Danio rerio: one gene and its partner. Each later gene encodes a partner of the first gene's protein in a complex. Links are inferred from orthologs where the notes say so. Each region holds a gene or a part of one and is shown in the gene's direction. Other genes may lie near its edges.

Evidence for each region.
Region 2: the proteins of ube2f (region 1) and dcun1d3 are in contact, whole or in part, in a crystal structure (PDB 4GBA), measured with the Homo sapiens proteins. The link is inferred for Danio rerio from reciprocal best matches to the Homo sapiens genes UBE2F and DCUN1D3. Residues at the interface, in NP_001265234.1 of Homo sapiens: Leu2, Thr3, Leu4, Lys7, Leu8; in NP_775746.1 of Homo sapiens: Glu108, Glu109, Glu112, Pro122, Thr123, Glu124, Met139, Cys140, Glu194, Ile204, Ala207, Leu208.

What each region holds. Positions count from the first base shown.
Region 1 is NC_133176.1:8,066,387-8,070,042, forward strand, and holds part of ube2f (NEDD8-conjugating enzyme UBE2F), read left to right. Parts: intron 1-134; coding exon 135-202; intron 203-1,916; coding exon 1,917-1,987; intron 1,988-2,092; coding exon 2,093-2,150; intron 2,151-3,656. UniProt on the Homo sapiens protein: Accepts the ubiquitin-like protein NEDD8 from the UBA3-NAE1 E1 complex and catalyzes its covalent attachment to other proteins. Together with the E3 ubiquitin ligase RNF7/RBX2, specifically neddylates cullin-5 (CUL5).
Region 2 is NC_133199.1:43,233,699-43,238,080, forward strand, and holds the start of dcun1d3 (DCN1-like protein 3), read left to right. Parts: upstream 1-1,524; 5' UTR 1,525-1,898; intron 1,899-4,382. UniProt on the Homo sapiens protein: Contributes to the neddylation of all cullins by transferring NEDD8 from N-terminally acetylated NEDD8-conjugating E2s enzyme to different cullin C-terminal domain-RBX complexes and may play a role in the cell cycle progression by regulating the SCF ubiquitin E3 ligase complex, after UV damage.

The sequences.
Region 1 (3,656 bases):
AGCATATCTAAAATGCACTGGAGTGTGAATAATTCTATCCTTGTTTATGTCGTACATTGCTAGTATCTGTCAAATGCCTCAGATATTCTGCAAGTGAAAATATAACCTGACTTTGCCACTAAACCTCTCATCAGATGAAGGCTATTACCTTGGTGGAAAGTTTCAGTTTGAGATCGAAGTTCCTGAAGCCTATAATATGGTGGTAAGTGCCTGTGACATATCATGAAGTAATGAGGTAATGCCACACTTACTCACTGGCAGTGCTACGATGATTTTATTAGTCCATTTGTAAGCGGGGCCCTTAAGTAGATGTTTGCAGGCATTACTGATGCTCTGCAGTATCCCAATTCAATAAAATAGCTGCCTAAGTATTCCCACACAAATGCACACATACATAACAACACCCATCCTTGACCTTAAACAACCTGTAATAGCCATGTGTAGCACATGCAGAGATCCAGATATAAACCACCAACCTTAAGATTCAAGTTTAGATTCATTAATGAGATATTACTGAGGCGTAAGGCATTAGACCAGGCATTAAGCAAACATTGTAATGACTAGATGTTCATTCATTCATTTTCTTTTCAGCTTAGTCCCTTTATTAATCAGGGGTCGCCACAGCGAAATGAACCACCAACTTATCCAGCTTATGTTTAACACAGCGGATGCCCTTCAAGCTGCAACCTATCACGGGGAAACAGCCATACACTCTCATTCACACATACACTAGAAACAATTTAGCTTACCCAGTTCACCTGTACTGCATGTCTTTGGACTTTTGGGGGAAACCAGAGCACATGGAGAAAAGAAACCCATTAGAACACATGGAAAAAAGATTTTTGTTCTGTTTATTTTTTTGTTTTTACACAACAGAGCATAATCTGTGCATATGTCTTTTATGCTTTAGTCTTGTTCATTTTTGGACATAGCATTTACATTTAGCACAATGCTTCTCAACCATGTTCCTGGAGGACCACCAACACTGCATGTTTTGGATGTCACTGCATGTGTCTCCTTTGTCTGACATGCCCATTATAGGTCCTTTTTAGTCTTCTAATGAGCTGATGACCTGAATCAGGTGTGTTTGGTTTGGGAGACATGGAAAATGTGCAGAGCTGCTGGTCCTACAGGATCGTGGTTGAAAAACACTGCTTTAGTAGATGTTTTTGTCCAAAGTGACTTACAATTGAGGAGGCATTCAGTGATTCAACAAGAAGAGGCAATACACACAAGAAGAGCTAATGATACAAAGGATCTGTTTGTGCTCAGAGAATTAATTATATATATAAATATATATATATATATATATATATATTTATATATATAAATATATATATATATATATATATATATATATATATATATATATATATATATATAATTATATATATATATATATATATATATATATATATATATATATATATATATATATATATAATTATATTTATATATATATATATATATATATATATATATATATATAATTATATTTATATATATATATATATATATATATATATATATATATATATATATATATATATATATATATATATATATATATATATATATAGAGAGAGAGAGAGAGAGAGAGAGAGAGAGAGAGAGAGAGAGAGAGAGAGAGAGAGAGAGAGAGAGAGAGAGAGAGAATAATGTTTCTATAGGGGGTTTGTCAAGCCCACTCACCTGTGTTAAGCACACTTGGAAAATGCACATGGGTTTTTTAAGAGATATGGAGTGATTGTTTAAAAAAAAAACTGCAACTGTCAGTTAAAGTGTCAGAGAAATTAAAGATTGTGTTTTTTTACTGGTGGTTTGTCAAGCCCACTTACCCGTGTGAAGCACATTATGCAAAATACGTTCATTTATATTGCATTGAACTACAACAAATCATATTCTGCTTTTTACAGCCTCCCAAAGTGAAGTGCTTGACTAGAATATGGCACCCGAACATTGCAGAAACGGGCGAGATTTGTCTGAGGTGTGTATATCTATGATAGCCATGTCTTCAGATGTGTTTATGCAACAGACTCTACATTGTCCTTTTTACTGCTGTGTTTATGTTGTTGTTAAAATCTCTCCACAGTTTATTGCGAGAGCATTCAATTGATGGTACTGGATGGGCACCCACTCGTACTCTAAAGGTCTTTTTTTTTTTATGTCTTCTTGGGGAATTTATTTGTATGTTTGTTTTCTTTCTTTCTTTCTTTCTTTCTTTCTTTCTTTCTTTCTTTCAATAACTAAACATTTGGGTTTTAATAAGGAAGTATGATTCTGACACAGACGATCTCCATAAACTGGCATTTTTAAAATGTCATTTTACTGAGTGTTCTTTTGCGCTGGCACTCCAGGTCTGGTTTAGAACTTCCATGAATAAATAAGGCACTAATATCACCCCTAGGTGGAAGCAAGTCTGTTTTAATGAGGGATCGTTGTCATTCTTTCAAATGATCCATTTTGAACTGAAGCAACAGACTCTTATTGAGTGGATCATTGGACCATCAACTTAGGGTGCTTTCACACCTACACTTTTGTTTCGGAACGTATCTCGTTTGCCCAGTTAGCGCGGTTCGTTTGGCATATGTGAACAGGGCAATCGCGCTCTGTTCCGCGCCAAAGTAATCGCTCCGAAATCGCTTGAATGAGGTGGTCTCGGCTCGATTGAAACGAACCCTGGAGCGGTTCGATTGCAGTGAGAAAGCGATCCGATCCGAGCGCGGTTATATCACTCTGTTTTATGGATATGTAATAGGCATATACGGCTATATATGAAGAGAGAATTATGAGTAGGGCGGGAAGTTTCGCGAGTCTCCGGATGCCCGCAAACAAGTGATGATCTCCCGGTAATCTTGCGTCTCCCTCCCGGTCCCCAAATAGGCATCGTCGCGCACCCTTCTCACCCCTCCCCACCGCGTCTCTCTTCAGACACGTCGCGCGCACCCTGTCAATGACCACCAAACCACCACCTCTCCTGACAGCTGAGAGGGATGCTGCAAAATAAACCCTGACACTCTGACCAATGTAAGGAGAGTTTACTCGCACGTGACTTGTTTTAGCTCTTTTGGTCCGATTAGAAACTTTGCAGTGTGAAAGCGAACCGCTCCAAGAGCAAAGGGCAAGAACAACTGAATCGATTCACAAGTGTGAAAGCACCCTTAATCAAAACCATATTAATTTGCTCTAGAAGTTTTCTGCTTTAGCTTTGTTTGGAATTATTTTTGTTGCCAAAACAAAAACTAAAAATTGTCTTAAATGTGAGTTACTCGGTCCCACTTTATATTAAGTGTCCCTAACTACTATGTACTTACATTAAAAAATAAATATAAAGTACTTACTGTGTTTATAATGTATTTGAGAGCACTTGTGGTGCTTTTGAGTTGGGATAGAGGTTGGGTTATGGACAGGTTTGGGGGCATGGGTAGGTTTAAGGGTGGGTTAAGGTGTAAGGTATGGTTAACAGTGTATTTACAAATGTAATTACAAAAGTTAATTACAGATGTAATTACAGACATGTATTTAATCAAGCATAAGTACACAGTAAACACATGTATTTACACAATAAGTACATTGTAACAAATTATTATATCCTATGTAAGTACATATTAGTTAAGGCCACTTAATATAAAGTGGGACCAGTTACTCAATATGAA
Region 2 (4,382 bases), on another chromosome or scaffold:
AGCAAAAATATTTGTTTTTCAGTATTGCCTTTACAAGACCTCTCAAGTCAGTTGAAAGGCTCATTTTGATTTGCGGGTTTTAGTCTTTGACGATTTAAACAGCCCCCCAAACAGCGTATAAAATACTTAATACAACGATTGATCATCATGGCTGATTTCCTTCATAGGAGGCATGTCTGGGCATGCTGTACACACCCCAGTTCCAGTGTCTCCGCCCCCTTTTCAAATCAGGGCCAGAAAGTGAAATGCAGATAAAAAGAGAAGGGTATAAATGGAGGTCGGTGCCAGCTCCAAGTGGGTGGGCCTTAGAGCTCCAAGTGGGCTGTGCAAACCTTATTTAGTTGTATTTAGAGTTCAATATTGTGCTTTATGAATGTGTACACCTAACCCTAAACCCAACCTCACAGTAACCTGATGTGTTTTATTAAGATCTACTTCACCTACACCACTTAAACCCAACCTACTTGTGGTTTAAGTCCCTCCCACTTGGAGGTCACCCAACCTACTTGCGGGGTAATCCCTCCCACTTGGAGGTCTTCGGGCTACAGCAATACCTACTTGTTCATAGGAGGCATGTCTGGGCATGCTGTACACGCCCCAGTTCCAGTGTCTCCGCCCCCTTTTGAAATCAGGGCCAGAAAGTGAAATGCAGATAAAAATGTGAAGTGCAATTAAAAAAAAAACAGTATTGCAAACTCACGGTTGACTGAAAAGCAAATCAAAATGAGCATTGTACACATTGCAATTGACTTGAGAGGTTTTGTAAAGGCAATACTGGAAAACAAATATTTAGCAAATATATGTATAATTTATCCCAATTATAAAATGTTCTTTGCACTACTTGATTTTTATTTACAGTTCTTTATTCTTGTTTGCAAAATTCCTTTTTATTTCTCAAAACTCAATATAGCATTTTTTTTTGACATTTGCATTATTTTTCTATTTTATTTTTTGTTTGCAAAACTTTCCTTCATGTTGCAGGTATATATGACCCTAGATTGACTCCATATCTTTCCACTACTGCTGGCAGGTGTCAGAATGTTACTTTAACCATAACTATAGCTAATTATCATCATAATCATGTTCAAATCTTCATCTAGCATTAACTACAAAACAAAAACAGACACCAACAGTGACCTGAAGCGCGTGACAGGGTTTGCGTGACCTCTATAATAATGTTGGATACGCTGTCAATGAGCGATTTGCACTTATCGCATGAATATCTGGCAAGCATTATAATTAAACAGCCTTTTGTTTTCTACATAATAATTCTAGCTGAACTCTAAATGAGCGTTACCTATGTGCGTTCACATCAGCTTATGCGAGCATCTCCGCACTTCCGTACTCCGCCGTCCACGTGCTTGCAAATGATGACGTCCTCAAACTGCGGAGGTTTTTCGTTTCAAACCAGTCCGCGACGCTCCCGGTGTTGCGCAATCGCAAAAAATCTGCGAGGTGCTCGCGTCGCTCATCTCTGCGTATCTTTTGCGCAGACTCTGTCGGACCCAAACAAAAAGAGAAACTGCGATCAATCAGCGGCCGATCCGCGATTCTCTGGTTCCGTGTGGTCGTGTCGAGTTCATCGGGATCATCCGGATTCTTCAAACATTGATGTAGAGGAGTGCGGGATCTGGGGAAGGCGGAGGTTTAACGGGAGCCGGTCCGGATCAGCGCGGGTTCGGTTCGGGCACGGGGGTCTGGAGGACGTGAAGCTGTGAAAATGTCAACAATGATCATCTGATGAACCAAAAATCACCACAAGCACAAGAGACGAGCTTTCCCCTGCTTCAACGCAGATCCAGAACCGATCCGGTTCGGCTGAACGCTGGGATTAGCTTTAGCTTTAGCATGACAGCAGGGATGCGCTGACTCTGACCCGTTTCATCGTCTTTCCACAGGTAAATCAGCACAGAACACGCTCACTTCACACCTCCTGACATGTTCACGTCCAGAACGAACACGTTTGAGAGTTCAAATGAAGTTTAGTGCTTATAAATGAAGCGCACTCTCATCTGAAGCTAACCAGCTAATCTGCTAACATGAGATCAGCTCTTTAAAAGACTTTAACTGTCATGCGGAGCGTTGTTTCATTCACATACAGCCATGTATCAGAGCTGTCCGTATGATTACAGCGTGTTCAGGCTGGATATTTACTGTATTTCTTACAGTCGTAGACAGTTAATCATTATTTAGAGGAAAACTTTCTCATTTATCCTGACAGAGACTCTTGGCTGTGGCTCAAATCTATGAGCTGCTTACCTACACAGCTTTATGGGAATCAGATATCGCTTTGCATGCCTTTTAAAGGCTGCATATTTAAAATAAATACAGTCTATTTAGGATTTAGGTGTCATGGGCATTTGCTTATGGTGATCAACATGTTGCCTAGTGCCTAGGTAGACTGCAACTGTGTAAATATATCTATATGCTGTAACAAATAACAGATTGTGACAGGAATGGAGATTTAATATCAGAAAACTGACATTAAATACATTTTAAGTTATCCTCACTTACTAAGAAGTCCACGCTTTTAGTATGTTTTTTATTATTATTATTGGTTTACCAATGACTTTTGAGGTAATATAGTTATTAATTTTTTTTACTTGCCTTTTAAAAACATGACAATTTAGGCCAAACTCAATCCAAACATAATCTTGCACAAACTGACTGAGGCATGTCAGATATACAGTGAATCAAATATAAAGCCATACAATTACACAAACATACACATTTATAAAACAATTTATAACCTTTTATCAAATATCAAAATATATTGTACAATTTATAAAATATCATAACAAAAAAAGAACAACATGCTGCGCAGACATCAAACAGAAACTCTGCAAAGGGTTAAATAGAAGCATATTCTTGAAACAAATCATACAGTTGTATATAGCCTTCTCACACTTCATTATTTTTAAAGCTTCTGCGTATGTGGCAGACTCCTTTTTAAACGCAGTCAATTGAGGAGCTGCTTTCAAAATTTAGCATTTATGAATGAAGTTTTTAAGTAAACTAGTAAACAATTTCCTCTTTGCTGTCCAAATTTACTCCAAATTTTACAATGTTCTAACAAATAGAAGGAAACATTGAAATTTATTGTTTTATCGAATTGTCCACATCAGACCAGAAAGAACTAACCAAATTACAATGAAGAAATAGATGGTCAACCGTTTCAAGATCACAGTTGCAGAATTGGCAAACATTACAAGGTACTATAGTCTAGGACAGGGGTTCCCAAACTTTTCAGCCCGCGACCCCCAAAATAACAATGTCAGTGACTCATGACCCCCATTTTTCAAGGTGGTTACACTGTAAATATATAAACCTTGTAGACACAACTATAGGCATGTATAAACATGAGCACATTGACAACACATAAATGCAACAGTCTATTAACCGTATATATTTTTTATATTCATTTATTAATTTATAATATAAAACGTAAAGGCTGATGACTTTGATTTTTATTTGTTTATAATAGATAATAATAATATAATAATAATTTTGTTTTTGTTTATTTGTATGTTGTTGTTTATTTAACACAACTATTATCTTCTGTGGGTTATGAGTAAAATATGGTCATTCAAATAGTTTAATAAAACTTATTTGACTTTGGAAATCACCAAGCGACCCCTTGTCATTGTTATGCGACCCCCCAGCGGGTCCCGACCCCCACTTTGAGAACCACTGGTCTAGGATTGGGTTTTACAAACTGAGATCTGTTTTTTCTTCTTTATTATTATTATTTATTTATTTTATTTATTTATTTTTTTGTGAAAAACCTACTTTATTAAACGAAAATGTTTACATTAAATAAAAAAAGTGTAAGTAAATTAATATTACTTTACTATAAGTAAAACAACAGCATACTATTATAAGGCAAATCCTATACACAGTTTAAATTGGATGTTTGTTTTTAAGAAACTTCATAGATGTCTTTTATCGGAAAGCTAATTTTACCAGCAAGTCCTGTTATAAACACACCACATATTAAAAAGTAAGTTGCATTGTGATGATTACATTAAGATGTTTTTAAACGTACAAAACTGTTAGCGCTGAGATCAAAAATAATCGAATTTTTATCAAAAATAAATCTTTTAGATTTGTATTTTATGTATCATTACATTTTTTAAATGTATTTTTATTGTTATAAACCTTTTTGGTTGTAGGAAAGTGATCTTAAAATTAAAAAATGTTTATAAATTGTATCTGTTTTTGCCATGAAAAAGCCAAACAAACTCTCTCGGATGTTGCTAAAAGGGATACAGCTGTGGCCAGAAGTTAACAAGAATAATTTGTTATTTATTAAATAACCTATTAATTGTATTTTATTATTGTATACCCCAACCCTAAACCCAACTCTCACTGTAGTGTAAAAA